Linked DNA regions of Ovis aries. Each later gene encodes a partner of the first gene's protein in a complex. Links are inferred from orthologs where the notes say so. Each region holds a gene or a part of one and is shown on either strand. Other genes may lie near its edges. The genes, in order: LRP6 and SOST.

Region 1 (3,809 bases):
AAATGCTTTATTATGTGGACTTGTGACTTTCCTCATCTTGAAAGCAGAGATGCTTTTGTGAGCATTAAATGAGAAAATATATGTACACCAAGCACTTAGGATGGTACTTTCTATGAAGTAGGAGCTATTATTAATAGCTTAAATTATGACTGTTTTAATTTTTAGGTGATTCATAGCTATAATGGTAATGATATGAGTAGTGTCATATGCATTTTATAAGGTATAAGGTTGTTGAGCTCTTCCTCAGTTAATGCAATGACTTCGCATACTCTCAAGCACCTTTAGGAAGCTCTGTGTGTGTTAGTCGCTCAGTCATGTCTGACTCTTTGCAACCCCATAGACTGTAGCCCGCCAGGCTCCTCTGTCCATGGAATTCTCCAGGCAGGAATATTGTAGTGAGTTGCTGTTCCCTTCTTCAGGGAGTCTTCCCGACCCAGAGGCAGAACTTGGGCCCCTTACAATGCAGACGGATTCTTTACCATCTGAGCCACCAGGTTGGAAGTCAGGAAACTGGCAACCAGTTAAAAGTCCACAATACTCTGGTCACATCTTTTTCACTTGATTACTAATAATAAGTTTTATAAGAATAGTCGCTCCACTGTATTACTAGAATAAATTTCTGATTCTTAAGACTTTGAAAAATTTCTCCCTGAATTGACAATAAAACTTGAGGTCGCAGTTGTGTTCATTGGAGGTTGACGTCATTTTTTTTTTTTTTTTCTGTGCTCATAAAATAGGTGAATTGTATTGAGAAACTGTGCCTTTGGCTCTTCTGTATCTTCCCTTAAAATCTTAGGGTTTGGTACCTAAGCCGTGTGACGTTGTTAATCTTATTTCTGCAGACTATCAGCAGAGCCTTTATGAATGGCAGTGCCCTGGAACACGTGGTAGAATTTGGCTTAGATTATCCAGAAGGCATGGCCGTAGACTGGCTTGGGAAGAACTTGTACTGGGCAGACACGGGAACCAATCGAATTGAGGTGTCAAAGTTGGATGGGCAGCACCGACAAGTTTTGGTGTGGAAAGACCTAGATAGTCCTAGAGCTCTTGCGTTGGACCCCGCTGAAGGGTAAACAGCTTTTCATATCCGTTCTTTGCAACTGTATTGCACATGGCCTAGTTATGGATTGTATTCTTGATGTCTTTAAATCATGCTTTTTGGGGAGCTGACAGGTAAATCAACGTTTTATCTTAAAATCGTTAGTTGAGATTTCACTGATGTAGGATAAATAATTAGCTAAATTTTACTTTTGTCATTATTAGCATTAGGTGAATAAAAATTAGTGAAATGAGTTATTAGTTAAATATTAATGATTGTATTTATATGCTAAGTAGACAGCCTTTTGAAAGGTGTCATGAAATCTATTTGCTTCCACTCTCTCCCAAGTTATACCAGATTCTAAACCTCTGAAAATAAACCCACTGAAATAATGTGTGCTAAGAAATAACTACATTAAAAGGCTCTACTTTAGAATGTTCATTAACTCAAGAATGGATAATTCGTTATTATTATAAACTTGGAGAAACTTTGATATTAAACAGTGAACTTTCTGATAAATTTATGTACAACATGACATGTTTTTCAAGGATAGATGATCCTTCTTACATGATTTAGCAAGTTTTAAAAAGAGATCTGTATAGTCAAGGCTACAGTATTCACAGTGGTCACATATGGTCTTGAGAGCTGGACTGTAAAGGCAGAATGCCAAAGAATTGATGCCTTCAAACTGTGGTGCTGGAGAAGACTCCTGAAAGTCCCTTGGTCAGCAAGGAGATCAAACCAGTCAATCATAAGGGAAATCAACCCTGAATACTCATTGGAAGGACTGATACTGAAGCTGAAGCTCCAGTATTTTGGTCATCTGATGCAAACAGCTGGCTCATTGTAAAAGTCCCTGATGCTGGGAAAGATTGTGGGCAGAAGGAGAGGAGGGTGTCAGAGGATGAGATGGCTGGATGGCATCACTGATGCAATGGACATGAACTTGGGGAAACTCTGGGAGATGGTGAGGGACTGGGAGGCCTGGTGTGCTGCAGTCCATGGGGTCGCAAAGAATTGGACACAACTGGACGACTGAACAACAGCAACAAAAAAATCCATCATGTAAGAATGCTGAATTTTGAAGAATAACTCCATTTTAAAAAGCAGAAGTTAACCTTGTGAACATAGCAGCACATTGACCATGGCCATATTGCAAAGTTGTTTCCCTGAATCAGTCAATTCCCTGGTTAGCTTGCTGGCCATGCAGTTAGAAAGTCATACCAAAGGCACCATCTCTGTGCTGACATGTTTTGATTAGTTTATGGTGATTTTTACTCTGGCTACTAGTTACCAGACAGATAAATTTAGTAGTTGGGACAAAGGACTCTAGTTTACGTGGCTGCTGGCAACTGTGACGTTTCTCCCACAGTTGTTTTCTCTTTGGCTCTTGGGATGTACTCGTGCCTGTTAGCTGACAAGTACAAATGCAAACAAAGAACAAAGCCCAAGACAGCTTGAGTTTTCAGAAAAATGTGTTTATACATTGCTACCAAGTCAACCATCAGCCGATGGGCTGGTGAATGAATGTCTCCTTTGAGTAGTTGATGAGACCTGGCACGCGGAGAACTTTCCTAGACCCAGTATTCAAAGCGTCTTGAAACTAGCACTACTGGTTCAGTCCAAAAGGCATTTGGCTGAGAATTACCTTCTAGTTCTAGCTCTGCCATATGCCTGGCTTGAAGACATTAGACAGATCAGTTGCACTTCTTGTTGGACCTTGTCATCCTCATCTGCAAAAGTCTGTACTGTGCGGTTGCTCTACAGTTAATGTGAAAAACCCAAAAGAGTACATTCACAGGGACTGTAGTAGTAGTGTTCATTGCTCAGCTGACACACTAAGGGATGTGTGCGATTCAGTAGTATGTTACCTTGGACAATGTGACCAAATGCATTTCAAACTTTGCTTTTAAACTTCAGTTCACAGTTGTTAAGTTGTACCTTTGATGTACTGCGGCAGCTTGGTTTTTGGGAGAGTGATTTACACAAATCAGAAAGTAAGTTTTAAAAATTTAAAAAGTCGAATTTCTTGTCTTCAGAAATACATGTATTTTGTTCTGAAGTGAGTCAAATTCTGAGACCAGCACTTTAATCCTTTGCTATCTTCTTTTTGAATATTAGTTTTATAAATGCAAGTGCTGCAATAAGGAAACCATGGGTTTGTGTCCAATTCCTAGGTTTTGGATGGAACAGATTCATTGGAAACACTAAGGAAAGTTGACTCACTTCCTTTTTAGGATATGAGAAAAAATATTTAGTTGAGACTGCCAATGTAATTGAAAAAATTAATAGCTTTGATTTTGCTTTGCCAATTTCCTTGATTTAGTGTATATTTTCTTTAAATTTACTTAGTTACCATACATGAATATGATCGTTTCTCCCAAGTAATCAAAAGTGAAATGTTAAGTATCCATTGGTTTGAATTTAGATTTATGTACTGGACTGAATGGGGTGGAAAACCTAAAATAGACAGAGCTGCCATGGATGGAAGTGAACGTACTACGCTAGTTCCCAATGTAGGACGAGCAAACGGCTTAACCATTGATTATGCTAAAAGGAGGCTTTATTGGACAGACCTGGACACCAACTTGATAGAGTCTTCAAATATGCTTGGTAAGCTGTACTCTTTTTTTTGTTGTTGTTCAGAGGGATAGTATATAATCCTTTCTGTGAAAAAAATCAGTGGCTGCTGTTTACCATAGGTTAGATATGATACTGTTAATAAAACTTCATATGAATGTCTAGGTTCATCCTCTGTCTCACATTGTAT
Region 2 (4,542 bases), on another chromosome or scaffold:
GTTTTCGTCTGCCCTGAAGGAAACTGACTTGGGAAGCAGGTATCAGAGGGGGCCCTTCCTGCAGGGGCTTCTGTCTGGCTTGTAAAACTGTCAGAGCAGCTGCATTTATGTGTTGAGTGATGGATGATGGAAAGGAGGGACAGACGGCCGCAGATGGACACAGTGACTTACAAGTCGAGGCAGGTGGCAGAGTGTGGGGTGTGCAGGTGGGGTGTGCTGATTCATTGCCCAGTGAAAATACCAAATACCACAGTCCACTTCCCAGCCTCCTTCGAGGCCTGGAGCGAGTGTGCCTCCTCAAACAATCCGTCTGCCACGAACGCTTCCGCGGGTGCGCCTTTCTTTTCCTGCACCTCAGGTGTGAATCTTCCTCCCCCTCCCTGGGCCCTCTTTGTTTTCCAGGGTGTGTTTGTGTGCTCAATCACTCAGTCATGTCCAACTCTTTGCAACGTTATGGACTATAGCCTGCCAGGCTCCTCTGTCCATGGGACTCTCCAGGCAAGAATACTGGAGTGGGTTGCCATACCTTTCTCCAGGGGATCTTTCCAACCCAGAGATAGAACCCAGGTCACCAGCATTGTGGGCGACCTGAGCCACCAGGGAAAGGTAGCGATTCCTTCTGAGCTCTCTGTGGCTAGCTGGACCTGGTACTGCTTCACCGAATGCATCCATCCCATGCTCTGCACCAATAAGGTTTTCCACACAGGACTCAAAGCGGGTTTTGAAAAATGTAATGGTCTGGGAAACAAGAAAAAAAAAATGTCAGCACTAAAAATGCTGGCTTCCACTTTTGCTAAGAAAAGGGATTTTGTGCTCTCTACTTCTACCCACAGCATGGCCCGGGAAATAACTGCCCGTGGCACATCAGCCTGCCAAGAAGTGCCTGTCACCAAGCACAAGATCTCCAGGGAGCCTGAGCCGAGGTTTCCTCCTTGTCTCCATCACCAGAGCCTGTTGACCTCTCACCCTGGCCTGGAAACCAGAATCCCTGCCCCCTCGGAAGTAGAAGCCCCTGCTGTGACCCTCCAGATTTCCCTCTTGCCTTCCAGAGGGATGATGACAAGAGGGGCCTTCTTGGTCAGGATAATTGATGCTGAGCCACATGTAGGCCAATGAGAGTTCTTAAAAAGCTGCCTTCTGCCTCTGCCTGGGTCCGTGGGGGCCAATAGACACCATCGTTTTATTTTGGTGGGGTGACAAATGAACTTGGCCTGAGAGGTGGGATCAGCAGGGCTAAGACCTGCAGAGAACTCAGAGCTGTAGTTTGCTTCATTAAGCTAGTGCTGAGTTTGTTTTGAGAAAGCCTGAGGGGCCCAGGGAGGTAGAGATGAGGAGCTGGAGCTCGTTTTGATATCCGAAAACTGCAGCCGCCTGCACGTGGGAGGCGCTGAGAGCAGGCTTGCCTCACACGCCCCCCTCACCATTGGTCACCTGGGAGCACCAGCAGCAATTTGGGAGATTTCTGAGCTCAAGGAGGAGTCTTTGGGGAGGGCTTGCCTGGAGCACACCCCGTTCCCTCCTCCTGGGCTGAGGGAAGCATGGGACCAGCCCTGCCCCAGCCTGTCCTCATTGGCTGGCATGAGGCAGAGGGGGCTTTAAAAAGGCAAACGTGTCCAGGCTGGGGACTGGAGCCTGTGCTACTAGGAAGGCCGAGTGCCCTCCTCCAGCTGGCACTATGCAGCTCTCTCTTGCCCTGTGTCTCGTCTGCCTGCTGGTGCATGCAGCCTTCCGCGTGGTGGAGGGCCAGGGGTGGCAGGCCTTCAAGAATGATGCCACGGAAATCATCCCTGAGCTGGGCGAGTACCCCGAGCCTCTGCCAGAGCAGAACAACAAGACCATGAACCGGGCGGAGAACGGAGGGAGACCTCCCCACCACCCCTTTGAGACCAAAGGTATGTGACGCAGGAGAGTATTTTTAGCATAAGGGTCCTGGGAAGGTTCTCTTTGGGACTGTTACCAGCACCAGTGGACAGACAACTTTGCCAGGAAGCCAGGGAAAGATGCCATGTCAGCTGTATCCTTAGAACTCAAGTGCGAGGGCGTGGGGCTGACAGGGTCCTGGGAGTGAAAGTGCAGAGCAGGAGGGAGGCTGCGGTGGTGGGTGCAGCTCTGGGACAGGCTCAGGGGCTCAGAAAGGAGATTTCAAAGAATCCCCTCCTGAGAAGAGAGGAGTAGGGTCCAACTGCTGACCCCACTGGGGAGGGGACAAGACAAGGGAGCTTCACGTCTGTGAGCACCCGCTAGATGCAGTCGCTACATGGACTATGCCTGGACCGTACCCCAGGGAACTCCCAAGGTCCTCCTCCCAAGGAGGCTTCAGAGATGAAGTGGCTTGTTAAGCCAGCTGAGATTTGAAGCTAGTTTGATCCAATTACAAGACAGCCCTGGAAGGGGACTACATAGGGGATGTCGGAGGCCAAAAGTCACAACGAATCCTGGCAAAGCAGTGAGAAAGGGACGCCAGAGGGGCACCCCTTCAGCCCCCACCACCCATGATCTACCCAGTGAGCTGGCCCTTGAAGGAATGGGCGCTGCAGCTACCTGAGTGGGGGCCCTGGAGGGGAAGCAGCATCCTTGGGGCCGGGCATGGACACAGGTGGCACCCTCTGTCCTGAGTCGCCACCCTAGATCTAGCCTTGCCTCCTTCCTGGGAGGGAGCCTGACCCTAGTGAAAGGGCAGAGACCCCACCTGGGTCCCTGGCTGGGTCTGCACAGAGAAGCCTGAGGGGCAGCATGCGTAGCTGGCTCTGCAGATGGCAGGAATGGCTGGGGGCAGGGGGCCGGAATGATGCTTCAGAGGAAGGCCCTCTGGCCGCAGTCCAGGTGGGAGAGGAGTCCACAGCCCTGGCCCTGGGATCCCATCCTGCCCTGCCTCCCAACCAGCTGGGAATGGGGGCTCTGCAGAGGGCACGCCAGAGGAGCCGTGCCTCTCCCCTGCTCCTGCCCAGGGAAGATCAAGTAAACTCAAGGGATGGGCTGTAAGGAACCCAAGATGTCCACCTCTCTGGGTTCCCATGAATGCCACAGGTGCAGAGGAAGCCACGTGCTCCGGAGTCACCCTGTGCAGAGGAAGCACTTGACCTAGGGGTACTATTCTTGGAAAGCCCCAAGCCTCCTTCCCTGGGCAAACAGGCCGCCCCCACACACCACCCCTGCGGGCCTAGGAGCAGGGGCAAGGGTGCCAAACCAGACCAGAAACAAAAGGCCAGCTGGGGGCGGAAGGTAACCCCCCACACACCCTGCTGCTGTGCTTATTCTACAAGGTAGGGGTGTGGGGGGCTGGCCTTGTCTGTCTCCTCTCTGGTTTTGGTCATAGGACTATTTTTCATCCCTTTGTGTCACATTGAAACTGTCCCTATGAGACCCCTGGGGATGGACAGGTGCTCACATGAGGACCAGCTGTTTAAAAAAGCTCCTACCAGTCTAAGTCCATAGTAGGAGACATGATCAAGGTGTCTTCAGGCATCAAGCCAGACCTTAGAGCCCAATCTTCCCCCGCCCAGGGAGCAGGTCTATGCCACCATTGGGTGTCCACAGAATAGCACAGAAGAGATGAGCCCAGCGCCCAGCACAGTGCCTGGTACACACCAGGTACTTAGTAAGTGTTTGTGGCAACTGAAGCTTTAGGTTTTCAGTCAGATCTTAGCCCCCTGATAGGGAAGGAACGATAGTAAAAGTAGTAAAAGGCAGCCCTTTGGCCCCCCTCACTCCTCCACTCAACATCCCATGGTGCCCAGGCACACAACTTCCACTTTGCGGGAGCCTGGAGGTGCAGGGGCCTCAGAGGCGCAGAGTCAGGAGACCAGCTCTGCCTTTCCGGAAGGAGCTTTTCCTTCTCCGGGCCTCAGTGATAATGAGGGGGTTGGAGGTGCTGCCATCGGCTCCTTTCAAGTCTAAGGACTTCAGTCCCCTCTCCACCTCTCCTTCCATCCCTCTCCTCCTCAGTAGCTGCTCTGATTTATTACCGTCAATTAACCCCTACTCCTTTCTCCATCCCCTCTGCACCCTGTCACTCCTCCCAACCAGCTAGAAAAGGAATTTGGGAGAAGTCAGAGACATTCAGAAGGTGTGGCTAATAACTACCCTGCTGAGGCCAGGGGCCCTGTGGGACAGATGTGACTTAAGTCTGGTGAAGAGGACCCCCTTGGAGAGGAATAATAACTGTAATAGCACCAACACTTCCAGCTCTTACTGTGTTCTAAGCAGCATCCCCTGAATTATATATGTAAAGGATTGGCTCATTGAATCTTCAAGACAACCCATTTTACAGATAGGAAGCACACAGAGGTTAAGCAACTTGTCCAAGGTCACACAGTCATGGAACTGATATTCGAACCGAAGCAGTCACTTGGCTCCAAAGTTTTAGGGTGAGAAGGTGGACCCGTGATCTTTCCACCAGCTCCAGAGTAATTGGGCCCTTCCCATAATAGACCCCCAGGGGCAAAAGCGTCTGGGGAGAGGCAGGTCTGGGGCGGGCAGGGGTGGTTTGGGGGGAGCCGGGCCGGGTGGCCGTCCTCACGCGCGCCTCTCTCCGCAGACGCC

What was found.
Region 2: the proteins of LRP6 (region 1) and SOST are in contact, whole or in part, in a crystal structure (PDB 6L6R), measured with the Homo sapiens proteins. The link is inferred for Ovis aries from reciprocal best matches to the Homo sapiens genes LRP6 and SOST. Residues at the interface, in NP_001401174.1 of Homo sapiens: Arg28, Asp52, Val70, Ser71, Glu73, Leu95, Ser96, Asp98, Glu115, Arg141, Trp157, Trp183, Asn185, Ala201, His226, Phe228, Trp242, Met269, Arg336, His361, Asp379, His404, Asp406, Thr422, Glu447, Arg449, Trp465, Trp491, Asn493, His534; in NP_079513.1 of Homo sapiens: Leu115, Pro116, Asn117, Ala118, Ile119, Gly120, Arg121, Arg169, Thr171, Arg172, His174, Asn175, Gln176, Ser177.

What each region holds. Positions count from the first base shown.
Region 1 is NC_056056.1:203,318,919-203,322,727, forward strand, and holds part of LRP6 (low-density lipoprotein receptor-related protein 6), read left to right. Parts: intron 1-842; coding exon 843-1,069; intron 1,070-3,467; coding exon 3,468-3,652; intron 3,653-3,809. UniProt on the Homo sapiens protein: Component of the Wnt-Fzd-LRP5-LRP6 complex that triggers beta-catenin signaling through inducing aggregation of receptor-ligand complexes into ribosome-sized signalosomes.
Region 2 is NC_056064.1:43,393,549-43,398,090, reverse strand, and holds the start of SOST (sclerostin), read left to right. Parts: upstream 1-1,623; 5' UTR 1,624-1,675; coding exon 1,676-1,892; intron 1,893-4,537; coding exon 4,538-4,542. UniProt on the Homo sapiens protein: Negative regulator of bone growth that acts through inhibition of Wnt signaling and bone formation.